Cricetulus griseus: one gene and its partners. The protein of the gene in region 1 purifies or fractionates together with the protein of each later gene. This does not show direct contact. Links are inferred from orthologs where the notes say so. Each region holds a gene or a part of one and is shown in the gene's direction. Other genes may lie near its edges. The genes, in order: Aar2, CUNH9orf78, Eapp, Eftud2, Znhit2, Ecd and Snrnp200.

Region 1 (2,654 bases):
GTGGAAACAGTGCCCAGTAAAGCAGAGTTGCCATAAGGTTTAGCAGTTCCTTCTGGATCTGCACCCAAAGATCTGTAAGCAAGGACTGGAGTATTTGTACAGCTATATTCATGGCAGATTTATTCCCAGTGACTAAAATACAGACAGCCCAAATGGCTATTGAGAGGTGAATGGCAAACAGAATGTGGACTACTAGAGGCTAAAGAGGTTGATTAGGGATTAATTGCAGAGGATCTGAGTTCAGCTCCCAGCATCCATGTGAGACATCTCATGGCCGCCAACAACTCTGGCTCCAGGGCATCCAACACCACCTCCTGGCCTCTGCAGGCACCTACATGAGTATAAACATCATCAGACACAGAGGCACAAGGATACACATAAATAAAAATTTTGAAAACCTCTTTAAGTGTGTGTGTGTGTGATATGTGTATATAAAGATGTGAGCTGGGGATGGTGGCATGCACATTTAATCCCAGCACTCGGGAGGCAGAGGCAGGGGGAATCGCTGTGAGTTCGAGGCTAGCCTGGTCTACAAAGTGAGTTCTGGGACAGCCAGAGGTGTTACACAAAGGAATCCTGTCTGAAAACCAAACAAATAGATATGAAAGAGAGACAGAGTATACAATCATGCCTACTTGAAAGTGTGAACTGGGGCTGGGGAGGCATAGGGGGCAGGGTCTGACTATGTAGCCCAGGCTGGCCTTGAGCTTGAATTTCCTCTGCCTCAGCTTCCTGAGTGCTGGAATTACAGGTGTGCGCCACCATGTCTAGCTCTACTGTTTAGTTTTGGATTTTGAAGACAGGGTTTGACTGTGTAGCCCTGGCTGTCCTGGAACTCACTTTGTAAACCAGGCTGGCCTCGAACTCACAGAGATTCCCCCTGCCTCTAGATGTGTGCTACCACCAACTGGCTACTGTTTAGTTTTGAAAAGAAAGGAGATTAGGATGGATGTTACAATGTGGATGAACCTTGAAGATATGCTAAGTGAAATAAGCCAGCCACAAAAGGACAGATACTCTATGCTTCCTCTTCCATGAGGTTCCTAGCCTAGTCAGATTCATAAAGACAGAGAGTAGAAGAGTGTTTCTAGAGGCCAGGGGAAGGAAATGATAGGGAATTGGTGTTTCATGGGTAGAATTTCTATTGGAGAAGATGAGAGTTTCTAAAGATGAGTGTTGGTGATGGTTTCGGGATGGGAATGCACTTATTGCCACTGGCTCATCACTTAAAAATAGTTTAAATGGTAGCTATCTATTTTACCACAATTTAAACGATGGTAATTTTTTTTTAATGAACATTAAAGACAGCTTTTAGGAGGAATAGAAGCCTCAAACTGGTATTCTATGGCCCACTTAGAAGATTAGAGCAGCAATTCAGCCTTGTTTGCTGAGGGCATGTGACTTTATGGGATTCAAGGGCTTATGTGTCTCCCCGAACTTCTTTACACCAACTGGTATAACTATCTTTTCTTCTGTGTTAGCCCAGGTGCCTTATAGACCTTAACACAACCCCACCCCCAACTGGTGGGGCTGTAGTGGTAACTCTGGTGGCCTTACTTTCATGGAGCATCTATACACAGCATGGTAATTTTCCATTCCAATCCCATCCCAATGTGTTTTTTCTTGGTTGGGGGCGGGGGCCATAGCAGTTGTCCTGTAACTGTGCTCTGATCTACTGCCCCAGAGAGCTTAACACTAGGAGGAAATTTCCAGAGCTTTCTTGGTCCCCTATTCTCAGGAGTAACTTATACTCTGTTCTCTGTAGGTTTTCTTTTCTTCTGCCTGCAGTATTGCTGTGGATGCCACCCTGAGGAAGAAAGCGGAAAAGTTCCAAGCCCACCTGACGAAGAAGTTCCGCTGGGACTTTGCTTCAGAGCCAGAGGATTGTGCCCCAGTGGTGGTGGAACTCCCTGAGGGCATCGAAACTGGCTAACTGCAAATCCTCAAGCCAGGGAGACCCTTCCCACATGGCTACTGCCCGGTGTCTCTGCTCATCCGTCTTCCTGGGATCCTCCAGCATAGCGATCCAGGCAGGTCCTGTAAAGATGGAGCCAGGATCCCTCTTCACCAGTAAATACATTCCTTTGTTGCAAAAGCAAGATATTGTGGTTTCCTTTAGCCTGGCCCTGGCACTTAATTTCAGAAAAAGGCCCTTGTAGAGTGTCCAGATGAAACCTGCCCAACAACAGTCTAATTCCTTCTACAACGAGAAAAAAAAAAAAAAAAAAAAACTTAAGTCTAAAAGACTATGCTTAGTCCATAGCTGGTTAAAGGAAGAAAGAAGAAACCTGCTCCATCCCAGGGTCTGAGGGGTTAGTCGGTGAATTGTTAAGTTAAATGTAGGTTTGAAGTCGAATGTGGTTTGTACAGAATTTCTGCCTTCTCCTTGTTAAGTGGAAGGATACCTGCTGAAAAATGGGCCACTGAGCTCTCAGGAGCCCAGCCTGGGGAAGGGCGGCAGCAAGGAAGAGGGTGTGCTGAGTCTGACAAGTGGTCAGCTTCAGCTTCCTCTCCAAGGCCTCTTCAGCCTAGAGGCCCCAGGGGTTAATACCCTGGAATTGGCCCTGGTCTTGGCACTTCCATCCGAAGCCTCACACCATGACTTTTTCTGATGACATGGAATTCAACAACGAAAGGAAAGGCGCTGGTCAATG
Region 2 (4,762 bases), about 120 Mb from region 1:
GGAGAGATGGCTCTGTGATTAAGAACACTAGCTGGTCTTCCAGAGGTCCTGGGTTCAATTCCCAGCAACCACATGATGGCTCACAACTATCTGTAATGAAATCTGGTGCCCTCTTCTGACCTGCAGGAATACATGTAGGCAGAACACATCTAAAAAACAAAAACACCCCTGAGCCTGTGAGAGTTGTAATCCAATTCCCTGGGTTTGTGCAGCAGTTCCCACGGAATCTCTTTTTCAGCCAACAGAGACATGGCGTCCAGTGAGTGCCATACACATTTAACAATGGCTGAAACAGCCTTGCTGGGAGGTCAAGACTTCGATACTTAATGTATTTTTCATTAATGCAAAAAAGCTGTTTCAAGACATCCCAGTCTTCTTTGTCCTAGTTTAAGAGGAACGACAACCTCAGAGAAAATTGTTCTGGAGAAAAGCCAAAGCATGGCAGACATGCCTCCCTGCTTTAGAATAGTTTTCCAGAAAAAAGTCTCCATCAGTCTCCCGCCCCCCCCCCCCGCCCCAGCCCATGAACTGGAATGCCATAGAGGCCCGCTGTCCCTGATGCAAATCCCACAGCTGGGAAAACTATGCCCCCACCTGAGCTCCCCTTCCCAGCTGTGTAACTTGAAGCACAGGTTACTTCTCTAAGCCTCAGCCTTCTCTAACTTCCTCAGTTGGAAGACAGACCCAACTGCATCTACTTCGTGAGATTAGACCGGAGACTTTTAGGAGAGAATGCTTAGCCCTGCCACAGTTAAGAAGTGCTTTGCTCCAGAGGAAACTAGTAATTAAGGAGTCCCTATAAGTCCCATGTGAGCCATTACGCATGCACTTATCCATCTCCTAAGTGTTTATGGATACCTTTGAAAGCTAACTACTCTCGCAACATCTTGGCGGTGGAAGGTGTGTAGGACAGAGCGAGTCCTCCAGGCCAAAGGAGACACCCCGAGCTCTCGAAGGGCAGTCCCCGGCTTCACACCCTTGGAGAGGCCTCTGAACGTCAGTGGCATCCCTCCTAGGGACCAGTAGCAGCAGACCACCCTGGTACGGGGGAGTTGGTATCGGGACTGATATTCACCCCCGCCAAGGCGCTCAGCTTTTGTCCGTGAGAAATAAATTTGCACATCTGAGGCCCAGAGCCCGAGTGGCCTCGCGCTGGCCTTCCGAGCGACGTGCGGCCTGCTCAGGAGAAGCCAGGGCCGTGGGGACTTGGGGCGGACACAGGAGCCGGTCGATGGGAGGGTGGGCGGCGGGGACCTCTCCCCAGATCGCGGCTGCCCCGCAAAGCCAGGCCTCCCCAGTTCGCAGCGGCGGCGCGATCGTCCCTGCTCTAGCGGCCCAGCCCACCGCACCAGGCATCAGCCGTCCGGAACTCACCTGCCGTCGCAACCGCGCCGCCTGTCAGTCAAGCGCGCCCACCGCGACGCCGCGCAGAGTCTTGTGGCTCTGCCTGTCGTGCCCCGCCTCCCTACCGTCAGCTGTCCAATCGAGAGAGCCTATGCCAAGGACGGGGCGGGGTCACATGGCGCTGCCTACTAGGGGGCGGGACCGTGCGTGCTGGGGGCGTGGCCGTGCGAGTACTGAGTGCCCATGCATGCTGGGAGTAGGGGGAGTGGCCGTGCTGCTGGGGCGTGGCCACGTGGTTCGAAGACTGTCTTGCTGGTGGAGGGCACAGTCTCGGCGCTGGGGCGTGGCCACGCGGCTGTACCTGCCCTTGCTTTTTGGAGTTGGGAGCTGGTGGCTATGCTGCTGGGGCGCGGCCTGGACACCCGGAGGCGGGTCTGCATGCAGCCGGCCCTCTGACGACACTTCTGCGCGCCGGAAGAGAAAGAGGTTCCCGGCACTACGCGGCAGGTAACGCCGCTCCTAAGATCTGGTGCCGCTATGCGGATCACTGGGAAGACTTTCCGCCGGCGGCGGGCTGACTCGGAGTCGGAGGAAGATGAGCAGGAATCAGAGGAGGTTCGGTACGTGTTTGGCATGACCTCCACGGCCCAGGAAGAGGGAAACAGCCTTGGGACTGGCTACCGGCCGGCACTGCGCTGACACCACTGACCGGGAGCCAGGGTTGTTGTCTTTCAGAGGCTCCTGCTGATAAGGCCACATTTCCCCGGTCCCGAAGCTCGGAAAGGTGCTCCGGGGTCGCATGGGTCTGACTGCCGGTGATCCACAGTGCCAGGGACTCGGCCGAGAGACACGGATGTCCCCGGAACTGAGTTAAGCTTTGAGTTCCGCAGAGGATCTCTCAGCCTGTGCATTGCTTTTTATTCATTTCCCCCCAGGTTAAAACTTGAAGAAACCCGAGAGGTGCAGAACTTAAGGAAGAGGCCAAACGGGGTGAGGTGGGTACCATGGGGGTGGGGGTGGCGTCATTTATTGATGACACAGATACTTCCAGCTAGGGTCTCAGTTACAAATATCTCCTTCGACATAGTTCTTTCTCTAGACATACACCTTGCACTGGTCGAAGAGGGGACCAGTTTTTTTTCAAATGTGTAACTGCCACATGCCCTGAGCCTGGTGGTATCAGAGTCTACTCCAGGTCACTAATTGCTTTTTGGTTTTTCCAGACAGGGTTTCTCTGTATTGCTTTGGAGCCTGTCCTGGAACTTGCTCTGTAGACTAGGCTGGCCTCGAGCTCACAGAGATCCGCCTGCCTCTGCCTCCTGAGTGCTGGGATTAAAGGCATGAGCCATCACCACCACCCTGTTGCTAATTGGAGTTGTTTTTTTTGTTTTGCTTTGTTTTTCAAGATTTTATTTATTACTTATACAGTGTTCTGCCTGCATGTATACTTGCACACCATTGCAGATGGTTATGAGCCACCATGTGGTTGCTGGGAATTGAACTCAGGACCTGTGGAAGAGCAGCCAGTACTTTTAATCTCTGAGCCATCTCTCCAGCCCTAATTGGAGTTTTTAATTGCACGGATGAATTGTGAATGACAACGTGTTGACAGATAAGAGTTTAGAAAAATTAGAGAAGTATAATTAAGAAATAAATGATTTCTGTGGTGGTTGTTGGTGCATGCCTCTAATCCTAACCTGGGAGTTTGAGGGCAACCTGGGTTATATAGACCCTATATTTAATTAAATATAGACCCTATATTTAAGAACTTTGTGGGAGCCGGGCAGTGGTGATGTGCACCTTTAATCCCAGTGCTCTGGGAGGCAGAGGCAGTCAGATCTCTGTGAGTTTGAGGACTGCCTGGTCTACAAAGCCAGTCCCAGGATGGGCTCCAAAGCCACACAGAGAAACCCTGTCTGGAAAACCCAAATTATACTGTGATTTCCAGGCTAAAATGAAATCAAATGGCTATGCAGGAACATGCACAGCTGCTTCCTTTGCCTTTCACCCTCCCACTCAGTGTGCTGAGCACTGTGTTCTTTCCTACCTACTCTTGGGCATGCCCTTCCATCAGTGCTCTAGCCTGCAAACCTGATTGTCCCAGATTGCTTCCTATGCTGTGACCATGACACAAAACCACTTGCAGAGGAAAGGTTCTGATTACATTCAGTTATTGGGGGAAGACAAGGCAGGAACCCAGAGGCAGGAACTGTAGCAGAGAGCATGGAGGAGCACTGCTTACTGGCTTGCTTCCCAGGTTTACATTCAGCTGTCTTATACAACACAAGACCACATACCCAGGGGGAAGGGAGCCCTGCACACAATGGCCCTCCCACACCAATCACAAGTAAGAAAATACTCCTCAGGCTTGCCTACAGGCCAACATGATAGAGGCATTTTCTCAATTGAAGTTTCCTCTTCCCAGGTGACTCTGGCTTGTTTCAGTTGACAAAACAAACTAGCCAGCATATTGATTGATTTCCTTCTTGTCTCTGTGTCATTTCTTTGTCTGTTTTCTTTTGCTCAGTGCTGCTGCCCTGCTGGTGGGAGAGAAGGTTCAAGAGGAGACTACTCTGGTGGTGAGTGTTGTCTCCTCTCTGGGGCTGTTCTTCTGTGAGTGTGTCTCTAATGTATAACCATGCTGCCAGGGAGATGGCTAGTCAGAGTGCTTCCTGTGCAAGCACAAGGGTCCAAGTTTGGATTCCTGGCACCCACATGAAAAACTGAGAATGGTGACACATCCCTATAATCTGAGCACTGGGGAGGCAGATTAGGACGATGTGCTGAATAAGAAAGCTAAGATACCCTCTCTCAAAGTATAAGTTGGGGGAATGGCTTTGTGGGTAAAGTGCTGAAGTTCTTGCTGCACAAGTTTGGGGACCTGAGTCAGGCCCCTAGTACCCAGCACAAAAGCTATACATGATGGCATCCATCTGTAACCCTAGCAAGGTTTGGAGTAGAGACAGTTGGAGCCCTGGAGCTGACTGGCCAGTGAGTCTACCCAAATCAGTAAGTTCTCTGTCTGAGATATTTAAGGTGGAAAGTGATTGAGGCAGATGCCTGACTTTGGGCTCTTGCCTCCACAACCACACATGCATACACACAAACATGTATATACACTGTCCACACACAAAACTAACAAACATGGTCACATACAAAGTAAGAAAAGCTGGGTGGTGATGGCATATGCCTTTAATCTCAGCACTTGGGAGTCAGAGTGAGAGACCAGCCTGGTCTACAAGACCTAGTTCCAGGACAGCCTCCAAAGCCACAGAGAAACCCTGTCTAACAAAAAACAAAACAAAACAAAACCCCCCAAAAAACAACAACAACAAAAAATAAGGTGGAGAATGATTGAGGACACACCTACAACGTTGACCTCTGACCTTCACGGGTATGCATACATATGTGTACGTGC
Region 3 (3,969 bases), on another chromosome or scaffold:
AAGCCAGACTTGACAGGTGGTAGTTATGCACGCCTTTAATCCCAGCACTTGGGAGGCAGAGGCAGGTGGATCTCTGTGAGTTCAAGGCCAGCCTGGTCTACAGAGTGAGTTCTAGGACATCCAGGGCTACACAGAGAAACCCTGTCTTGAACCCCCCGCCCCCCCCCAGCCCCCCCCCACACACAAAAGAAAGAAAACCAGACTTGACACTGGTGGCAAGTACCACAAACAAAATACAGCAGCCACTGAAGCTTCATATTTGGTGGCACTCAGAATTGCCATAGCTATGAAAACTCACACCATTGCTCAGGATTTACTGTTGCCAGTGGTCAAAGATGGTGCTCAAGATATGAGATCAGAAGTGAATTTGTTTCATAATTAATGCAGTTTCCTTATCTAAAGACACTGTCTGCAGAAGAGTAGATGGCATGTCTGCTGATATTCTTGATCAGGTAATCCAGGAAATTGAATCTGCTGCACTTCCAACATTTATTTATTATCCAGCTTGATGAATCTACAGACGTTGCAAACTGTTCAGTTACTAGTTTACATGAGGTGTGCTAATAATGGCGATATTAAAGATGAGTTTCTTTTTTGCAAACATCTTGAAACAACAGCTACTGCACGTGATGTATTTGACACAGTTGGTTCATTTCTGAAAGAGCACACAAGCTCTTGGGAGAGGGTTTGTGGTGTTTGCACCAGCTTGCTAGGATTTCAATGTTTGGTACTCAGTAAGTCACCAGAAGTCATCGGAACTCTCTGAATGATTCATTGGCAAAAGATTCATTAGCAGTGAATGATTCATTAGCAGTGAAGATGCTGCCACAAGAGTTATAAGAAGTAATGAAAGGTGTCAGTTTTGTCAAAGTGAGCATTTTAGACAGTTGACTGTTTTGTAGCTGTGCAGTGAGTTGGATGCGTTGAACAAAGCTCCGCTGTTTCACACTGAAGTGCAATGGTTGTCCAGAGGGAAAGGGTTCAAACATGTGTTTGAGCTTTGTGATGAACTCAAAGATTTTAGATTTATTTACTTATGTATTTTTTGTATGAATGCTCTGTCTTCATACACACCAGAAAAGGTCATCAGATCCCATGATAGATGGCTGTGAGCCACCATGTGGGTTCTGGGAATTGAACTCAGGACCTCTGGAAGAGCAGCAATTGTTCTTAACTTCTGAGCCATTTCTCCAGCCCCCTCAGAAAGCAGTTGGAAGCACTTTTCAGCAATGAATGTGAGCTGCAGAAAACAGCTTACTTGGTGGACATCTTTGTCATCTTGAATGAGTTAAATTTATCACTGCAAGGACCAAATGCAGCATGCCTGGATTTGTCTGAAAAGACCTGATCATTCCAAATGAAACTTCAGCTTTGATTAAAAAGGGAAAAAAAAAAAGATGATAATAGAATTCACATGTTGTCTACCTAATCTTCTTTCTTTGAGGAACATGACATTGAACCAGACAAAAGGATATTATATTTATGTGAAAGAACACTTGCACATGAAATTTCATCATACTTTCCAAATCTACCTGACACCCCATTTGCCCCTGCCAGAAGCCCATTCACAGTCAAAGTGAAGATGTTCCCGAGAAACGGCACAAGAGGAATTCCTCACTGAAGTCACTGACAGCTGTGCAATGAGGATCTCTCTACACTGCCAGTTGCATAATTCTGGGTCAAGTGTTTGCAGTCAGATCCTGTGCTCTCTGAGGCTTTGTTGTGCTTTCTTCCATTTCCAACAACATATCTTTGTGAAACAGGGTTTTCCAGCTTGTTGGTTATAAAGTCTAAATACAGATGTAGACAGTGCACTTGCAAAGACTGGCCCGAGAATTTCTGATCTGGTGAGAAAGAAGTAGTCTCAACCTTTGCACTAAGGTTGGCTTTTTACGAATACTGTTGAAAAATATAGTTTTTTTTTTTTTTTTTATTAAGGCTGTTACCCATGCTACACCATGTTTCAAGACAAAATTTATTTGTAATTAGAAGTAAATAGTCCACAATATAGAATTACATATTATTTCTGTGGTTAGTCATTATGCTTTAATTATGTTCATTTTGTAACAATGAAAATATAGTCAGGGCTACGCAGAGAAACCCTGCCTCATACAGGGGAGACTGGTCTCAAACTTGCTATCTAGCCAAGGATGACCTTAAACTCTTGATCCTACTGATCCACTGGGGTTACAGAGTTGTCACCATGCCAGTTAGTTTAAATGGGTATTTTGAGACTGAATTTTCATTATTTGAATTTAGCCCTTTGGCCTCTTTTCTCTGTAATTTGGTGTCTTAATTGAACAAAAACTCTTATTTGAAGAATAACTATTTTATGAATTTGTTTTTGGGGTAGGATTTTATTTTTGTTGCCAGAGTGGCCTGGGACTAACTGTGTAGTCCAGGCATGGCAGTTCTCCTCCTGCCTCAACCTCCTAAGTGTTGGGATTGCTGGCTAAAGAAAGGCTTTGGGTATCTTTTTAAAAGATAATATAAATAGAATAAATACATAGTATGGGAAACAGGAGAGTCATTTTATATTAAAGAATTGTAAACTTTAGACATGATTCTGATCCATATTGGTAACCTTTTAAAAATTAGCACAAGTGACCAAGAAAAAGAAGAAGAAACAACGCAGGATTCCAACAAACGATGAGTTGCTATATGATCCTGAGAAAGATAACAGAGACCAAGCCTGGGTTGATGCACAGAGAAGAGGGTAAGAATTTAAATCTATATATGTAATCTTTACAGGAAGAATGATTTTTCCCTGCTTTTATATTTTATAGTATGTGTATTTGTTTTTACACAAACACATCAAAAACAATTTGAGGAGAAAAACTTGAATAGTTTATTTGAAAATAACCAGCAGTTTTAGTCAGACAATTGAATATTTGTTTATTTATTTACTTTTTTTTTTTTGAGGCAGGGTTTCTCTGTGTAGCCCTAATTATCCTGGAACTTGTTCTGTAGACCATGCTGGCTTTGAACTCAGATCCACCTGCTTCTGTCTGGGATTAAAGGTCTATGCAATCACTACCTGGCTAAATTTTTATTTATTTTAAAACAGATCCTCGACGGATGTTGGTGGCGCACACCTTTAATCCCAGCACTCGGGAGGCAGAGGCAGGTAGATCTCTGTGAGTTTGAGACCAGCCTGGTCTGAAAAAGCTAGTTCCAGGACAGCCTCCAAAGCCACAGAGAAACCATGTCTTAACACCCCCCCCCCCAAAACAAAACAAAACAAAACATAAAACATTAAAATAAAACAGATCTTCATGTAGCCTAGGCTGGCTTTAAAAACTTAGTATGTGGTTGGGGCTGGTCCTGCTTCTACCTTCCAAATGCTCTCTGGAATTTCAGGTTTGTGTCACCACAGTTAATTGTTGAGTTATTGATGGATCTAAACTGTCATAGTCAGTCACTTCATTTAAGAAATAGAACTTTTTAGCTGGGTGATGGTGGCACACGCCTTTAGTCCCAGCACTTAGGAGGCAGAGGCAGGTGGATCTCTGTGAGTTCCAGGCCAGTCAGGGCTGTTACACAGAGAAACCTTGTCTCAAAAAAGAAATAGAACTTTCTATTGTTCTTGTGGGACAGGGTCTTGCTATGTAGGCCTGGCTATCCTGGTACTCATTATGTATGTTGCCCTGGCTGATTTATAGCAATGCTGCCTCAACCTCCTAAATTCTGGGATGATAGGCATGTGCCACCATGCACATACCTTGCCTCTTGCCCCTACCTCTGTGGTACTAGGTTCAAACCTAGGCTCTAGCATGCTGGCAAGTGTTGCAGCACTGATCTGTATGCTCTATCTTCATGTATGCCTTTACGCCAGAAGAGGGCATCAGATCCCACTATAGATGGTTGTGAGCCACCATGTGGTTGTTGGGAATTGAACTCAGACCTCTGGAAGAGCAACCAGTGCTTTTAACCTCTATTCTGAGCCATCTCTCCAGCCCCTCGCCCCCC
Region 4 (3,969 bases), on another chromosome or scaffold:
GGCTTATTAACCTGTTAGGGAAACGGTAACTTACTGCATAGAAACGTGTAGTGTTTCTCCAAGGGCAGGCTGGTCAGCTGAGGTCTGTCCTAAGTAAACAGAAAGGGATGAGGGAAACGTATCTGGCTCAGTAAATACTTGGGTTCAGTAAGAACATGGGTCTCTGTGGCCATGGGTTGGTTGTTTTAGAGTACTTAAGCTTTTTTGTCAGGTGGATTTTAAGGAATTGTGCCCCACCAAAACCTACTTCTTAAATTTCTCTGGCACGGTGACTCCAAAAAAGTGTTTTCTCCTTCTAGAAAATGGGCTTCCCTGGAAGTGTTATCTATCTCCTGGTTAGCCCATGCTTCCCTGGAAGTGTTATCTCCTGGTTAGCCCATGCTTCCCTGGAAGTGTCATCTCCTGATTAGCCCATGCTTCCCTGGAAGTGTCATCTCCTGGTTAGCCCATGCTTCCCTGGCAGTGTTATCTATCTCCTGGTTAGCCCATGCTCCCCCTCCAATTCCTTGGTGAGAATGTGTAGCAGCAGCAGTGTAGCAATGTAGTGACGGTGTCCTCTTCTCCCGCCACAGGCTTTGTGGACATGTGTGTGCAGCACATTCCATCTCCAAAGGTGGGCGCCAAACCCAAGATCGAGCACACCTACACTGGCGGCGTGGACTCCGACCTTGGCGAGGCCATGAGTGACTGTGACCCCGATGTAAGGGAACGTTTTATGGCATAGGTCTTCACTCTACCTCAGGCTGGTGTCACACTCCCAGGAGTCCTCCTGCCTCAGCCTCCCTTATGCTGGGATTGCTAGCCTGTACCACCTGCTTGGCTTGGTTTTCTCATTTGTATTTTTGTTGTGTCTGAGTCTCCTGTTAGCCCCTCATAGAGGGAGGGGTAATGCACGGTTTGGAATTTCTCCAGGAGTCCACGTCTTCCTTAGTCTGGCCTTTCTCCTCCCAGCTCCTGTCATTGTTGTCAGGATGTGGTGTTACCTTCGGGCTGTCTGTGGTTAAAGCTGTCCTCTGTCCCCTCTGCCAGGGTCCCTTGATGTGTCACACTACTAAGATGTACAGCACAGATGACGGAGTTCAGTTTCATGCCTTTGGCCGGGTACTGAGTGGCACCATCCATGCTGGGCAGCCTGTGAAGGTGCTGGGGGAGAACTATACTCTGGAAGACGAGGAAGATTCCCAGATATGTACCGTGGGCCGCCTTTGGATCTCGGTCGCCAGGTACTATACTCCTGACCAGAGTCTACAAGGACACGTGCGGGTGTCTATCCTGGGACTGTCGCCGTGTTAATGGGGTCCTAGGAAACACAGCGACCTGGTACAGCTGGTACAGTGTAGAGTGAGATGACCCCCTTCCTGACATCTAGTTCTTAAGGTTGCCGGGGCTGAAGGGCAACTCCTGTTAGAATGTCAGGAGCTTTCCCTTTGACTTTTGGGTATCTGGAGTGAAGTGTTTTCTTTTAGTAGAATTTCTGTTGTTACTCTTTTTATTCCCTTTTTAATGTGTATGAGTGTTTTGCCTGCATGTATGCGTGTGCATCATGTGCGTGGTTGGTGCCCCAAAAGGCCCTTAAGAGTGCTTTGGATCCCTGAACAGTGTTGCTTCCATGTGGCTGCTGGGAGTCACACTGAGGTCCTTTGGAAGAGCAGCTGGTGCTCTCGACTACAGGGTCACCTCTCTTATCCACTTTGCTGTGTCCCTTAGCTTACTGCTTCTGGTTTCTTCCCAGAAGCAGTTGTACCCAAACATGCTCGAATCTCTGGAGCTTCCCAGGCTGCTGGATTGCACTTAGATTGGGCCTCTGGGCTGTTTGTCATCAGGTGACAAGCAGAACCAGAGCAATCCTGTTGGTAACGTGGCTGCCATGCCTCAGTGATGGCCCCTTCCCCTCCTCTAAATCCATCCTTACTCTAGAAGACAGAAGAAAACTGAAGAGCTCAGGGGTGTGTGTGTGTGTGTTTTAGCAGCCCCTTAGGTTAGATAACTCCTAGGCAATGGCTATTTTGTTTTTTGTTTTATGATATAGGGTCTCACTGTATAGCCCTGGCTGTGCTGGAACTCACTGTGTAGACCAGGCTGCTGGCCTCTAACGTACAGAGGTCCACATCACATCCTCATACATGACACTCTGGCATAGCTCTTTCTTGTCCCATGTGCTCGCATCGATGATCCCCTCCCCACAAGAGTGGATCTGGGTTACTCACCTCTGCTCCTGGTCTGGGCCTGGCGTTAGCAGGTGCTTGGTGCTTGTGTGTGTGTGTGTGTGTGTGTGTGTGTGTGTGTGTGTGTGTGTGTGTAGTGAATGCTCTGACTAAGTCCTATGCTTGTTTATTGGCTGTTACTTCAGGTACCACATTGAAGTGAATCGTGTTCCTGCTGGCAACTGGGTTCTGATTGAAGGCGTTGATCAGCCGATTGTGAAGACAGCAACCATAACTGAACCCCGAGGCAATGAGGAGGTAGTGTTTCTGAAGGGGAGCAGGGAGCACTTTGAGCTAGAAGGGCACAGAAACCATGGTCATGTGAGCAAACAAACTTTGGAACTCAGAAGATCCTAATCCAGAGTCGATGCTACTTCTTGGCTCTGCCCTCGCCCTGCCACATTCTAGAAATTAGGACTAGTGAGCTTCTTGTTCATCCCAGGGCTGTGCCAAATGCCTGGAGCAAATGGTCCTTTAAATTGGGCCCCAGCTGTACCATGGTTCTCGGTTGGGGAGTCGAGACTTTAGCTTCTCCCTTAGGCCTGTGCCTTCTTGCCTGCCCCTGAGGCCCTCGCTCCTCTGTGTTTTGGATCTCAGGCTCAGATTTTCCGGCCCTTGAAATTCAATACCACATCTGTTATCAAGATTGCCGTGGAGCCAGTCAACCCCTCAGAGCTGCCCAAAATGCTTGATGGCCTGCGCAAGGTCAACAAGAGCTATCCATCTCTCACCACCAAGGTATGTTCGAGGCCTGCAGTAGCTGCGAAGCCATATCCGCCCCAGCTAACTGCTCTGTGCTGTCACTGTGTGACATTCAGCAGCTATTCCTGATCTGTTGCTTCCCACAGCCTGGTTCATGGACCAGCTCACCTGATATCATTTAAGGGCTAGACAAGACTGGACTGTGTGTATGTTTCCTCAGATGACTTTAGATAGACTTTTTCCTTAAGGGGCACACAATTTGAACTGAATCAGGTATGGTGGTGGACACCGTTAATCCCAGCATCTGCAAGGTGGCGTCAGGAGAATGCAGAAAGCTCAGGTCAGCCTCAGCTTCATAGGGAGTTGGAGGCCATTGTGGGCTACAAATAGGGCTAGAGAGATGGCTCAGCAGTTGAGAACATTGGCTGCTCTTCCAGAGGACCTGGGTTCAATTCCCCACACCCAGGTGGCTGCTCATCACCATCTGTAACTCCAGTTCCGAGGGATCTGAATCGCTTTTCTGGTCTCACAGGTGCCAGGCATGCAGTGCATACGTGTAAATGCAGGCAAGACACCCATACACATAAAATAACAACAGAAAGTTAAAACAAACAAAAGTGACTGATCTTGTTACACTCTTGAGCCTGCCACCAAACTATTTCTAAGAGGCAGGAAGGCAGAGTTACAGGGCGAGCTTATTTTGGTGGATATAAGGATGGGCTTTAACCTGCATGGCCAAGGGAGTAATCAAGTCAGTGATGCCGTACTCAGCAGCACTGTGCTAAATGGTCCTGGTGTCTTAGGGGCCTACTCATTAGGGAAGTATTGTCCTCTGGATTCTTATTTTGGGGACAGACACTTACTGTACAGTATTGGTTGACCTAGAACTAGCTATACAAATCAAATTGACCTCAAGGTCAGGGTGAATCTTCTGCCTCTGCCACCTAGATGCTGGGGTTACAGGCATATCACCACACCCAGCTTTTTTCTTTCCTTTTTTGGGGGAGTGTGGAGTGGGATGTAGAGGTGCTAAGGGCTGAACTCAAGTTCTCAGTCGTGCAGG
Region 5 (3,586 bases), on another chromosome or scaffold:
AACCAAACCTTATGAGATTTGGTGCCCTCTTTTGGTGTGCAGATATACATGGAAGCAGAATGTTTTATACATAATAAATAAAATCTTAAAAAAAAAAAGTTCAAAACACAAGGAGCATCGGGTCCCTCGGCATTGGAATTGTCTGATTGCACTGGCATCCTGATCTTGTCTGGCTGAACTTGATCACAACTGTGACTGAGAAGCTGATTAAATGGTTCCACCCTTAGCACCAGGCTTCCACTACACCCAGATCCCATTGCATCTTGGAATGCACCAAGGAGTAAGGCCAAAGAATAGTTGGACACTCCATTCCATTTAAGCTTTGTGAGAGATACTGGTCAAACTGTAAAATGCGCTGCAACCAGTGTCTAACCCATTGTAGACTCTGAATAGTGACTGTCTCAGACTCATTGTTTAGCCATTAGCTTTTTACTATAGTGGGTGTGGGTATTCCCACATTCTTGTTAGGACAGCATTCAGGAGTGTACCAGGGATTTGGAGGCAAATGGTTTTTATTAAGCCCAGGCTAGTTTTGGACTCTTAATATTCCTTTCCCAGCCTCCCAAATGTTACTAGACTACCACATGCTGTGTAGACTACCACACTTGGCCTGAGCAGTGCTTAAGGGTCAAATTCCCAACTCAGGTTCTTTGTAGAGGAAAAGTATGAAACTATGTAGTTTGCGATCCATGCATAGTGGCACATACCATTAATCCCAGTTCTGAGAGGAAGAGGCTAGCCTAGCCTGGTTTACAGCGCTAGTTCTAGGAAAGCCAAGGCTACACAAACCTCTGGTGGCAGTCAGGGGTTGGGTGGGGATGGGTGGCACAAAACAAATACTAGGAATTGAATTTCAATCCAACTTGGAGGTTGGGCTGCCCCAGTTTGTTATATTGATATGTTAAGTATCTTCGGGGCTTCTCTGTGGCTTCGGAGGCTGTCCTGGAACCTGCTCTTCAGATTCTTTGTCATGCCTGGTTTATGATTTGGTTCTTGTAGGGTTTTTATTATTTTGGGGGTATTTTCAAGACAGGGTCTTACTGTAGCTCTGACTATTCTGGAACTCACTGGGTAGACCTGAAACTCAGAAATCGCCCTGCCTCTGGGGACCTGGTGCGGGGATTAAATTAAAGGCGTGTGTCGCTACACCCCTAAGATTCTGGATTTTTTTTGTTGGTTGGTTTTGCTTAAAAGGTAGTTTATTTTTGCACAATTTGGTAAAACCACAGGGAACAAGCTGGGATCAGCGACATTAATCTTCTAACTCTCGAGAGCCACCGTGTTGGTTAGACCTTGGGCGTGTTCTGCGCATGCTCAAAAGGCTACTCTAGAGACGGAAGTTACCGAGAAGGTACGTCGCCCCACGCACAAAGGCGGAAATAACCGAAGAAGCACCGGAAGTGGCGGAGCTACGTCTGCTGTGTGGTGCCCGACACGCGGCGCCAGTTGCCATGGAGCCCGTAGGGCTCTGCGGCTTCTGCCCAGGCGGGGAAGCTTTGCCGGCGCGCTACACCTGCCCGCGCTGCAACGCGCCCTACTGCTCGCTGCGCTGCTACCGGGCGCATGGCTCCTGCGCCGAAGACTTCTACCGCGACCAGGTGCTGCGAGAGCTCCGCGGCCGGAGTGCCTCTCCCAGCCGTCTGGCGGGAGCACTACGCCGGCTACGCGAACAACGGGAGACCGAGGATGAGCCCGAGGAAATAGGCCTCAGGCCCGGCCCGCGGCCGAACGGCCTTTCTGGACTCTGGGAAAGCTTGTCACCGGCTGAGAAGGCGGCGTTCGAGCGGCTGCTGAGCCGTGGCGATGCTGGACGCCTTCTGCCCCCGTGGAGACCCTGGTGGTGGGGCCGCGGGGGTGGCCCGCGATTTATGGAGGAGTTGGATCGTGCCCCGGGCAGGGATCTTTCGGAGCCGGAGACCGCCCCAGAGAGCACCGCGCCCGAATCTGTGGATGATGCCGCCGCGGTGCCTCTTGCTGAAGACTCAAATGCCGCCGTGCCGCCCGCAGTGCCCTCCCGTATCCCAGCGCTGGCCAGCCTGAGCCGCTGCCCGCCCTCGCCACTCGTGCGATTCCAGCTGCCCAATGTGCTGTTCGCCTACGCTCACACTCTCGCCCTGTATCATGGAGGGGACGACGACGCTCTACTCTCTGATTTCTGTGCCACACTGCTCGATGTTTCTGGAGCCCTGGGCGCCCAGCAAGTCTTTGACTCTACGGAGGAAGCCCTGCAGGCCGCAGCCCACGTGCTGGAAGCGGGTGAACACCCACCTGGGCCCTTGGGTACGCGGGGTGCTATGCAAGAGGTTGCTCGTATTCTGCTGGGCGAGGGTCCTATCAACCAGAAAGGCTACACGCTGACAGCACTGGGGCACCTGGCCCAAACCCTGGGCCGAGCCCGGAAACAGGCTGTGGTTAGCGAAGAACGAAATCGCCTTTACCGGGCTCGGAAGAAGTGCCAGTTCCTCCTAGCCTGGACCAACGAAAATGAGGTTGCTCTCACACCACTGGCTCTAGACTGTGCCAGGGTCCACCGAGCCCATGCTGTCACAGCCGAGGAGATGGCAACCCTTACTGGGGAGCTGGAGCGGCTTTGGGGAGGCCCGGTACCACCTGCTCCAAGGACTCTCATTGAGGAGCTCCCTGGCTGAGCTGGGTGTGTGGTATTAATAAAGCTGTCACTGGTCTGTCCAAATGTTGGCAGTACCTTTATTTTCTTCAAAGACAGTACCCTATCCTAGACTTTCCTTGAAGTCACTGTGTAGCTGATGACCTTGAACTTCTGAGCCGAGCCTGCCTCTACCTTGACAGTGCTGGGATTACAAGTGTTAAGTCACCTTGCTAATTTATGCAGTGCTGAAGGTCAAAGGCTTCTTGAATGCTAAGCAAGCATTCTATATAACAACTACATCCCCCAGGCCTGAAGTGCCCATTTCTGAGAGAAACCAGTTGTTCCACGAAGCTACCCTGGACACACAAACCACTTCCCTAGTACAGCTTCCCTAGTCAGCTAGTTCTCTACCTCTCTCCCCCAAATCACTGACCCCAGAATAGAAGAAAAACAAGATTGAAAACATTTATCCAGCAGGGAAAAGTATTTTCATATGGGAGCAGTGGTTCCCTCTTCTTGCGTCAGACTCTGAGGCTGGTCATCCCTGCCAAGTAGAATGGGGTGCAGGCCCTTCACCCCACATGTGTTCAGGCCTGAGCTTGTTAGATGGCTCTGCCTCAGTAGACATAGGGTATGATTCGATAAGGCACACGTTTGCAGTATTCCTGCCAGGCACGGCCATACTTGCGAAGGCACTGCTGCTCATCTCGGGCCTCCCGGTGTACCAGCAATGCAGTGAAGTAAAGGAGGTAGAAGTAGGGCAGCAGGTGAGACACCCCTGTAGGGAAGGGGTTGCATGATGAGACACCAGCACCCGGTGTATAATGGCTTTCTCAGCTAATGACACACAGGGTGACAGGGTTCATCAGTGATACACGGGGTCCATCTCCAGTCACACCAGACTGAGCCTCCCTTCCCAGACCTACTCACCACAGGGCAAGGACCAGGCCAGAGCCATGATGAGGTCTCCCAAGTAGT
Region 6 (3,969 bases), on another chromosome or scaffold:
AAAATGTCATGAACTCAAAAGATACCAGAAAATCTGGAGAAGGAGTATTAGGTGTTCCTATAGAAAAGAATGCTTGGGCTGGAGAGATGGCTCAGTGGTTAAGAGCACTGGCTGTTTTTCCAGAGGTCCTGAGTTCAATTCCCAGCAACCACATGGTAGCTTACAACCATCTGTAATGTAATCTGATGTCCTTTTCTGGCATGCAGACATACATGCTGACAGAACACTCATACCTCAAAAAATGCGTAATAAATAAAATCTTAAAAAAAGAAAAAAAAATGGGGCTGGAGAGATGGCTCAGTGGTTAAGAGCACTGACTGTTCTTCCAGAGGTCCTGAGTTCAATTCCCAGCAACCACATGGTGGCTCACAACCATCCGTTATAAGATCTGGTGCCCTCTTCTGGTGTTCAGATATACATGGAAGCAGAATGTTGTATACAAATAAACAAATAAGATCTTTAAAAAAAAAAAGCTAACTGATTAATTTTAAATGTTCAGAAGCTGAACAGATAGTTCACAGAGAAGGAAGTACAAATGAATTTTAATTTAAACATGAAAAAGCATTGACCTCTCTACTTAAAAATTAATATAATTTAAAGCCACAAAATAGTTTTTCACTACTAGATTGGCAAATATAAAAAAGTATGGGAACATATACTGAGCTGGTAAGCATTTATAGGATATATAAAGGAAAAGGGTACTCTAACATGTGGATAGAAATAAAAATTTAGCTGGGTGTGGTGGCGCACACTTTTAATCCCAGCTCTTGGGCGGGAGAGACAGACCTCTGAATTCTAGGACAGCCTAGCCTGTGTAGTGAGTTCCAGGACAGCCAGGGCTACATAGTGAAATCCTGTCTCAAACACACACACACACACACACACACACACACACACACACACACACACACACAGAGAGAGAGAGAGAGAGAGAGAGAGAGAGAGAGAGTCTTAAGTTGATTCATTCCCTGTGAAAACCAGTTTCCACTATCCATCAACACTGAAATTGCATTGACCATTTTGCTTATCATTTGCACTTCTAGAAATGTGTTTCCAGGTTTCAAAACCACTAGACTTCTACTCAGGAAACATCATTTGTAATAGTGAAAACTTAGAAAACACCTAAGTGCATGGAAGAATAGATAAATTACGCCATGTTTGTGAAGTGAAGTTGACAAATTGATGTGTGCCGGTAGGAAATTCTCTCCTTATCATGCAGTTACGTGCAGTAGAGTGTGTGCTGCTGTTGGGGTGATGAGAGGGTAGAGAAGGATGGCACCAGTATTTACTTGAGTGCACAGATTACTTCTTAAGGGAGGTGCCGGACTTAGGTAATGACTTTGAATTATTGTGCCATATTATTATCATTTTTTACCAAAGGATCTTAAAACAAAATCATTCTGTTCTTTCCTGTGTCTGAGAATATGCTCAACTTACTTTCACATTGTTGTTACATTTTCATTGATCTATTTCGTGTGCATGGCAGGGTTGGGGGGAGCCTGCCATGGTGCACAGTGGGGGTCAGAAGATAACTTTTGCGTTGGTTCTCTTCTACCATGTGGGTTTCAGAGATTGAACACAAGCCATCAGGCTTGGTGGCAAGCCCCTTTATCCACTGAGCCATCTTGCCAGCTCAGAAACAAATTCTACTTTTCGTATAATTTAAAAGGTGTTCTAAGTGAAGCTGGGTATGGTGGTGCACACCTTGATCCCAGCACTCGGGAGGCAGAGTTTGAGGCCAGCCTGGTCTGCATACTGAGTTCCAGGGACAGCCAGGTATATATACTGAAACCCTGTCTGAAAAAAGAAACTAAAAAGTGTTCAAGTGTTCACATTTCATTGTGTCCAGTCATCTAGTTCTTGATAAGGGCTAAATGGGAAAAATTAATTTAAGATGACAGAGAAAAAGAAAATGCAAGAATAACAAACATTCTTTCTATCTCATCTAGGCTCATGGATTTGAGATTTTGTGCTCCAAATGTAGCCCACATTTTTCTGACTCCAGGAAATCCCTTGTGACTGCTTCACCCCTCTGGGCCAGCTTCCTTGAAAGTCTGAAGAGGAATGATTACTTTAAGGTGGGAATTGTGGTGGTTGCTTCTTCTTATGAATGTGTGTGCATGTATGTGTTATTTGTGTTCTTACACGTGGTGGGGGCCAGAGGGTGGGTAGAGGCGGGGTCTTCCTCTCACTGAACCTGGAGCTCACTAGTTGACTATACTGGTTGGCCAAGGAGATTATAGGCCAGCCTCATCTCAGAGAAATAAATCGAACACCACCACCAAATCCACCCTCACAGGTGGTGGATGTAAACAAATGAGCATGATAATGAAGATGATTAAAACTGAATGCTCCTATACATAGTTTTTGAGAGACCCTTACATTCGAGAATGTAATAGGCATGAGTATGCTCAAAATGCATTAAATATACATACAAGGATATCAAAAATAAAACCCATTACTATATATATTTATCATCTGCTAATGAAACACTCACTAAAATCAATGGAATTTGAGGTCAGATATGGTACTACACACATGTAATCCCAGCTCACCAGAGACTCAGACAGGAAATTCTAAGTTCAAGGCCTGTCTGACTGTGTAGCTATTTAAAGGCCAGCTGAGCCACTTACAAAATCTAGTTTCAAAATAATAATAAAATTGGTCTGGGAGAATAGCACAGTGATGGAGCACCCTCATATTGTGTAGGCACTGTTCTAATGACCGGTATTGTGTTTTCAAGGGACTGATAGAAGGTTCTGCTCAGTACCAGGAAAGACTAGAAATGGCAAAGAACTACTTCCAGCTCTCCATACACCGCCCGGAAAGGTGAGCTATAGCTACCACCCACCACAGAGGAAGGCAGACTGCTGGTTGGGTAGTTCTTTTTAACTAATATGTTTTATAAAATGTCATGGCTGTATGTGTGTATAATGTGTGTATGGATACAGACATGAGCATGCCACTGGGGGAATCAGTGTTTGAATCTATATTATAGATATTTTTATTGTTGTACATAATTTTAGTTAATCATTTTTCTATGAGTATATTTCTTTTTAAAATATTTATTATTTTTATGTATGTGAGTGTTTTGCTTGTATGTCTGTGCACTGCATGCATGCCTGGTTCCCTAAGGAAGCCAGAAGATGGTGTTAGGTCCTCTGGAGCTGGGTTACAATTGTTTGTGGACAGTTACAGCCATGTGAATGAGTGCTGGAACTGAATCTAGGTCCTCTGGAAGAACAACCAGTGCTCTTAACCTCTGAGACACCTCTCCAGTCCCCTACAGTTCTGGGTTTTTGTTTGTTTGTTTGTTTTTTGAGACTGACAAGTGTATGTATTGTTAGACACTGAGGCCAGGAGACTCACAGCCTAAGTGCTCACAGGCTGCCCTGGCACTGAGCACAGGGGTTTGCCTGGCCTTAAAGAAGCCCCACCCCCTACAGTTCTTTATGACACAATATTTAAGGAAATGGATTATGCCATAAAGCACACAACTGTTTTTGCTACTGAAGAAAATATACAAGCTGCTAAACATCTAATATTTTAAGCAAGTGTGATGGTTCATGGGTGTAATCTTAGCACTCAGAAGGCTGAAGCAGGAGGATCACTATGAGTTTGAGGCCAACTGGGCTACATAATTTTTAGGTCAACCTAGCTCATAAAGAGAGATGTTGACTCAAGAAACAAAACAACCAGAATTTGAAAGTTTCAAGGGGGACTCCCATTTCTCACATTAGCCATTTTTCAACAATTTCATTTTGATTTGCTTTGTTTTGGTCTTTTGATATTTAAGTCAGAGTCTCACTATGTATCCCAGCTAGTCTTACATTCTTGTTCCTCTTGCCTCCTCCTTCCAAATTCTGGAATTAAGAACATGAGCCTCGGGATGGGAGTGAGGGGAGGGAGAGGGAGCAGGGATCGACATGTGAAACAAGCTTGTTCCTAATTTGAACAATTAATAAAAAA
Region 7 (4,692 bases), about 28 Mb from region 1:
TTACACCGTGTGACAGTGTGTCACTGTGATTGGTTTAATAAAAAGCTAAATGGCCAATAGTTAGGCAGGAGGTATAGCAGGGACTTCTGGACAGAGATAGCAGGACATTCGAGAGGTAAAAGCTACAAGATGCATGGCAACACATAGATGAATATAAATGGGTTAATTTAAGTTATAAGAGCTAGTGGGACAAGCCTAAGCTATAGGCTGAGCTTTCATAATTAATAAGTCTCTGTTGTGAGCTGGTGGCCCAAAGAAAAAGCTGTCTACAAAATAGGGTTGGAGATGCCAGGCTGTGGTAGCACACACCTTTTATCCCAGTAGTTGGGAGGCAGAGGCAAATTGGAGGCCAGCTTGGCCTCAAAAACAAATAACAACAATAAAAAATAATAATATAGAATAAAATAATAATAAATATAATATAAATATTTTGTTAGTAATATGTTAAGATATAATATATAAATATTCTATATATTATTTGCATTATAAACATAAATAATAAATATAATAATAATAACAACAATAATAATAGCATGCAGAGAAGTCTCTTCAGAGCAAGTTTGTGGCCTACCTGGACTCCAAAAGATCTTTTCTCAAAAGCCAAAGAAGGGCTGGAGTGATGGCTTAATGGTTATGAACACTTGGCTGCTCTTTTCAGAGGACCTAGGTTTCAACCCCACCACCCACAAGGCAACTCCTAACCTATCTGTAGCTCCAGTCCCAGGGGATTTAATACCTCCTCCTGGCCTTCTTGGGCTCTGCGCATACATGACACACAAACATACATTCAGACACAGATATACACGTAGCCAAAACACCCATATACATAGAATAAAACGAAAGTAATGATAAACAGATTAAACAATAAAAATTGCCAGCAAGATGGCTCAGTGGATTAAGACACAGGCCTAAGGGTCAGTTGTGCTTATTAAACCTAAAGGGAAAAGTAGAAATAGCTGTTTTGTTTTCAATGTAGAGAATTATTAAAAGATTAGATACCGCCATTTCATAAAATGTATCATTACTGCTTAATACATCTGAATAGTATATCTGAATAGACTTTTCATATATTTCTTTAGTAAATGTAGCGTTTGTGCCACATTGAGAACAAATAATCCGTATCTATAATCCTGACATGGACTGTGACAGATCATTGGGTGCAAATATTTCTTCCTTCACCTTCAGTCAGCTGCCACAGCGATTGACTCTTGAGGAAAAGCGTTGGGGGCAGCAAACATTTCCCCAATTTCTCAATACAGAAGAGAAATCCAGTCAGTTATTAGAAGCATGTTAACTTGCTCCTTCAACTTTCTCATCCTTAATAAACGGAGCTCCTAAGCTTCCGTTTGCCTGCAAGCATGCCTGCCTGCCTGCCTGACGGGACCGCTGGACTGAGAAAGCAAAAGTGTATTACAGAAAGGGACTTTTAACACCACACTAAAAGTGGCTTCGTGACTCTGCGTACGTATAGGTCCTTGGAACCATATTGCGCAGGAGCGTGTTTCCTAGGTCCACGGAATCCCTGACCCGGATGTATTACCTTCTGCAACCGCCACCTAGTGGCGGTGCGTAGTCGCCGGAAAGTATCACTTTTAGCGTACGTCCCGGAAGCGGAAGGGAGTCCGTTGCTTTTCTCTGTCCCGCACGTTTGTCCTGCGTCGTTCCTGCTGGGCCGGCGCGGTTTGTTGAGGCGGTTCGCAGCGTGTGGAGAGTGGAACCCTGAGTTCCCGGAGCATCGGCAGCCATGGCGGATGTGACTGCCCGCAGTCTGCAGTACGAGTACAAGGCGGTGCGTGAAGTCTCGGCGGAGGGCTGCGGGCGAGGGAGGCCGTGGGTAGCCACAAACACGGACGGAATATCTGATCTGGGTGAAGGCTGGATTAAAACACGACGGAATAACTCTAGTGGGGTTTAGGGCGCGTGAGGACTCGGGAGGTTTTTTCCCAGTCTCCTCAAACCGCCCCTTCCTACTCGTTATCCCCAAATCTGCTCAACACTTCACCTAATGTGGGTTATTGTGACTACTGTTAGGAACGTTGATCGTTCACTTTACCAGACAGTCCGGTGCTTGGCGTTTTATTATACTGTTTCTTCTTAAGGGGATTATTCCTTTTTCCCAGTATTTTTCCATCTTCAGGTGTCACTGTGATAACAGGAACCGAAGCTATTTATATATTAAAGTTTTGATTAAGTATGATCTTTTCAGAACTCAAATCTTGTGCTCCAAGCTGACCGCTCACTTATTGACCGGACCCGCCGGGATGAACCGACAGGAGAGGTTCTGTCCCTGGTTGGGAAGTTGGAGGGAACTCGGATGGGAGATAAGGCTCAACGCACCAAACCACAGATGCAGGAGGAAAGACGGGCCAAGTAGGTACCAACGGGGTGTTATATTTTCCTTGTAGTCTAAAGCGCATCTTGAACATTTGAGCAGTAGTTTTGATGAAGTACCTGTGGAAGATCAGCGGTGTTTGCACAAGAGAATGAAAACCTCTTCAAGGTTTAAAGTTTCTTTGGACTTGGGTGCAATGAAATGGAACAAAAATCTATTAGTACTTTTTGTTTCTGATTCATAGGTAGATGCTAATTTTCTTCAAGCTATTTTTTTCTTAAAAATCTGTTTCATTTTTAATCATGTGCATGTGTGTTTTTTTGTGAGTATGTGCACATGCATCCAAATGCCTGTGAAGGCCAGAAGACAGTTTGGAACATAGGAGCTGGAGTTTCAGGCAGTTGTGAGCTACCCAGTTTGGAGGGCTGGGAACTGAACTCTGATCCTCTGCAGAAGCAGTATTGCTTCTAACTACTTGAACCTTCTCCCCAGCCCCGTCACCAACTATTTTCCAGACCCTTGTTAATCTCTTGTCTCAGCAGTTCAGCCCCACTACCACTGTTAAAAGCTTCTTACCCTAACTCCCTCCGGTTGTTGTCCACTTCCTGATGCTTTTGTTTTGTTGTCTCTCCCGTTTTTTCATCTTGATAGATCCATTTCAAAAGTTGCATGTTCTCCTACTGTGCTTTCTTTCTCCTTTTTCTTTCTGTGAAGTCTTAACAGTCCCCAGGCCCTGTTTAGTTTGAGTGGTTATAATTGGGGAGAGTTGTTGAGACTTGAGAGAATTGTTAAATTTGAGAAGAAACATTCCTTGGTCCTTCACTTTTCAGAATCTGGCTTCTTTTCTAGCTGTTTATTGGGAGTCATAGAAGTAGATTCCCCTGGAGCCTAGCCTCTCTGGCTAATAAAAGGTTTTGTTTGTTTGTTTGTTTTTTAAAGTTGAAATACCATTATATTATCTCCTCATGAGGATAAAGAAATAAATACTTCTTCAAATGCTTAAAGTCAAGTGGGAATTACTTATTTTGATTCATGTTCCTGCTTGCACATATTAGATGTATAGAAAAGGTAAACTTCGGGGGTGGGGGGCAGGGGAGGAGGAGAGGGAGAGGGAACTGGGATTGACATGTAAATGAAGCTGGTTTCTAATTTAAAGTTGGTCTAATTGCAATTATAAAAAGAAAAGAAAAGAAAAGAAAAGAAAAGAAAAGAAAAGGTAAACTTGACTTGGGGGCGCAAAGTTCTCCCATTGAGCATCACACCCTGTGTTCATTAGGAGAAGAAAGCGTGATGAGGACCGGCATGACATCAACAAGATGAAAGGTTATACGCTGCTGTCAGAGGGCATTGATGAAATGGTGGGCATCATCTATAAGCCCAAAACTAAGGAGACGCGAGAGACCTATGAGGTGCTGCTCAGCTTTATCCAGGCTGCTCTTGGAGACCAGGTGAGGCTGGAACCAGAGGATGAGGCCTTGTGTTTGGAAAGAGAAAGGGTGATGCACAAGAATTTTGGTTAAATTATTAGTTACAAATATTTATTCTGTTTGTGGAAATCAGGACAACTTTCATCTGTGTGGGACTCAGAGATCAAACCTAAGTTGTTGGCCTTGGTGGAAAGTATAAGTTTGTTTTGCTTCTGAAAAGCATCTACCTAATCCCCCCCCCCCCACTTCTGGGGACTGACTCCAGGATCTCTCATGCTTTGTTTTTGTTTTTGTTTTTGTTTTTGTTTTTTTTTTTTTTGTTTTTTTTTAAGTTTTTCAAGACAGGGGTTCTCTGTGTAGCTTTGGAGGCTGTCCTGGAACTAGCTCTTGTAGACCAGATTGGTCTCTAACTCACAAAGATCTGCCTGCCTCTGCCACCTGCCTCTGTCTTCCGAGTGCTACGCTTAAGGGCATGTGGTACCACTGTGTTAAATCCTCAGCAGCTCCCTATAGTCTTTAATTTTTATCTTTTGGTTTTTCAAAACAGGATTTCTCTGTGTAGCCTTGGCTGTTCTGTAACTCACTCTGTAAACCAGGCTGACCTCAAACTCAGAGATCCTCTTGTCTCTGCCTCCTGAGTGCTGGGATCAAAGCTTATTTTTTAAATTTTATTTTATTTGTTTGTGTGAGACAAGGTCTCATGTAGCTCAAGCTGACCTCAAACTCACTGTGTATTCAAGAATAACCTAGAACTTATGGTCCTGTTGTTTCTCCAAGTGCCAGGATTACTGGCACATTGCCATTGTATCTTGTTGATGAATGTGATCAAAGCCTGAGATGCTGCAGATTTTCTTTCTGTTCTTTTTTTTTTTTTTTTAAAGTTGCTTTTTATGTGTATGACTGTCTTTCTTATATATATTTGTGTGTGTGTGT

Evidence for each region.
Region 2: the proteins of Aar2 (region 1) and CUNH9orf78 purify together in Homo sapiens (affinity purification with mass spectrometry; 3 studies listed by BioGRID and IntAct, with this or other methods). This does not show direct contact. The link is inferred for Cricetulus griseus from reciprocal best matches to the Homo sapiens genes AAR2 and C9orf78.
Region 3: the proteins of Aar2 (region 1) and Eapp purify together in Homo sapiens (affinity purification with mass spectrometry; 4 studies listed by BioGRID and IntAct, counting the BioPlex papers as one, with this or other methods). This does not show direct contact. The link is inferred for Cricetulus griseus from reciprocal best matches to the Homo sapiens genes AAR2 and EAPP.
Region 4: the proteins of Aar2 (region 1) and Eftud2 purify together in Homo sapiens (affinity purification with mass spectrometry; 5 studies listed by BioGRID and IntAct, counting the BioPlex papers as one, with this or other methods). This does not show direct contact. The link is inferred for Cricetulus griseus from reciprocal best matches to the Homo sapiens genes AAR2 and EFTUD2.
Region 5: the proteins of Aar2 (region 1) and Znhit2 purify together in Homo sapiens (affinity purification with mass spectrometry; 3 studies listed by BioGRID and IntAct, counting the BioPlex papers as one, with this or other methods). This does not show direct contact. The link is inferred for Cricetulus griseus from reciprocal best matches to the Homo sapiens genes AAR2 and ZNHIT2.
Region 6: the proteins of Aar2 (region 1) and Ecd purify together in Homo sapiens (affinity purification with mass spectrometry; 3 studies listed by BioGRID and IntAct, counting the BioPlex papers as one, with this or other methods). This does not show direct contact. The link is inferred for Cricetulus griseus from reciprocal best matches to the Homo sapiens genes AAR2 and ECD.
Region 7: the proteins of Aar2 (region 1) and Snrnp200 purify together in Homo sapiens (affinity purification with mass spectrometry; 5 studies listed by BioGRID and IntAct, counting the BioPlex papers as one, with this or other methods). This does not show direct contact. The link is inferred for Cricetulus griseus from reciprocal best matches to the Homo sapiens genes AAR2 and SNRNP200.

Annotation. Positions count from the first base shown.
Region 1 is NC_048599.1:23,026,604-23,029,257, reverse strand, and holds the end of Aar2 (protein AAR2 homolog), read left to right. Parts: intron 1-1,765; coding exon 1,766-1,933; downstream 1,934-2,654. UniProt on the Homo sapiens protein: Component of the U5 snRNP complex that is required for spliceosome assembly and for pre-mRNA splicing.
Region 2 is NC_048599.1:142,694,963-142,699,724, reverse strand, and holds the start of CUNH9orf78 (telomere length and silencing protein 1 homolog), read left to right. Parts: upstream 1-1,797; 5' UTR 1,798-1,881; coding exon 1,882-1,964; intron 1,965-2,279; coding exon 2,280-2,339; intron 2,340-3,871; coding exon 3,872-3,923; intron 3,924-4,762. UniProt on the Homo sapiens protein: Plays a role in pre-mRNA splicing by promoting usage of the upstream 3'-splice site at alternative NAGNAG splice sites; these are sites featuring alternative acceptor motifs separated by only a few nucleotides. May also modulate exon inclusion events.
Region 3 is NC_048598.1:147,614,764-147,618,732, forward strand, and holds part of Eapp (E2F-associated phosphoprotein), read left to right. Parts: intron 1-2,598; coding exon 2,599-2,716; intron 2,717-3,969. UniProt on the Homo sapiens protein: May play an important role in the fine-tuning of both major E2F1 activities, the regulation of the cell-cycle and the induction of apoptosis. Promotes S-phase entry, and inhibits p14(ARP) expression.
Region 4 is NC_048600.1:115,274,654-115,278,622, forward strand, and holds part of Eftud2 (116 kDa U5 small nuclear ribonucleoprotein component), read left to right. Parts: intron 1-572; coding exon 573-700; intron 701-1,029; coding exon 1,030-1,223; intron 1,224-2,350; coding exon 2,351-2,462; intron 2,463-2,801; coding exon 2,802-2,942; intron 2,943-3,969. UniProt on the Homo sapiens protein: Required for pre-mRNA splicing as component of the spliceosome, including pre-catalytic, catalytic and post-catalytic spliceosomal complexes. Component of the U5 snRNP and the U4/U6-U5 tri-snRNP complex, a building block of the spliceosome.
Region 5 is NC_048596.1:53,289,231-53,292,816, reverse strand, and holds Znhit2 (zinc finger HIT domain-containing protein 2), read left to right. Parts: upstream 1-1,215; 5' UTR 1,216-1,451; coding exon 1,452-2,648; 3' UTR 2,649-2,692; downstream 2,693-3,586. Other genes in the region: delta(14)-sterol reductase TM7SF2, read right to left, coding at 3,226-3,386, 3,539-3,586. UniProt on the Homo sapiens protein: May act as a bridging factor mediating the interaction between the R2TP/Prefoldin-like (R2TP/PFDL) complex and U5 small nuclear ribonucleoprotein (U5 snRNP).
Region 6 is NW_023276807.1:200,644,742-200,648,710, forward strand, and holds part of Ecd (protein ecdysoneless homolog), read left to right. Parts: intron 1-1,949; coding exon 1,950-2,078; intron 2,079-2,743; coding exon 2,744-2,829; intron 2,830-3,969. UniProt on the Homo sapiens protein: Regulator of p53/TP53 stability and function. Inhibits MDM2-mediated degradation of p53/TP53 possibly by cooperating in part with TXNIP. May be involved transcriptional regulation. In vitro has intrinsic transactivation activity enhanced by EP300.
Region 7 is NC_048599.1:51,367,555-51,372,246, reverse strand, and holds the start of Snrnp200 (U5 small nuclear ribonucleoprotein 200 kDa helicase), read left to right. Parts: upstream 1-1,744; coding exon 1,745-1,789; intron 1,790-2,206; coding exon 2,207-2,370; intron 2,371-3,608; coding exon 3,609-3,780; intron 3,781-4,692. UniProt on the Homo sapiens protein: Catalyzes the ATP-dependent unwinding of U4/U6 RNA duplices, an essential step in the assembly of a catalytically active spliceosome. Plays a role in pre-mRNA splicing as a core component of precatalytic, catalytic and postcatalytic spliceosomal complexes.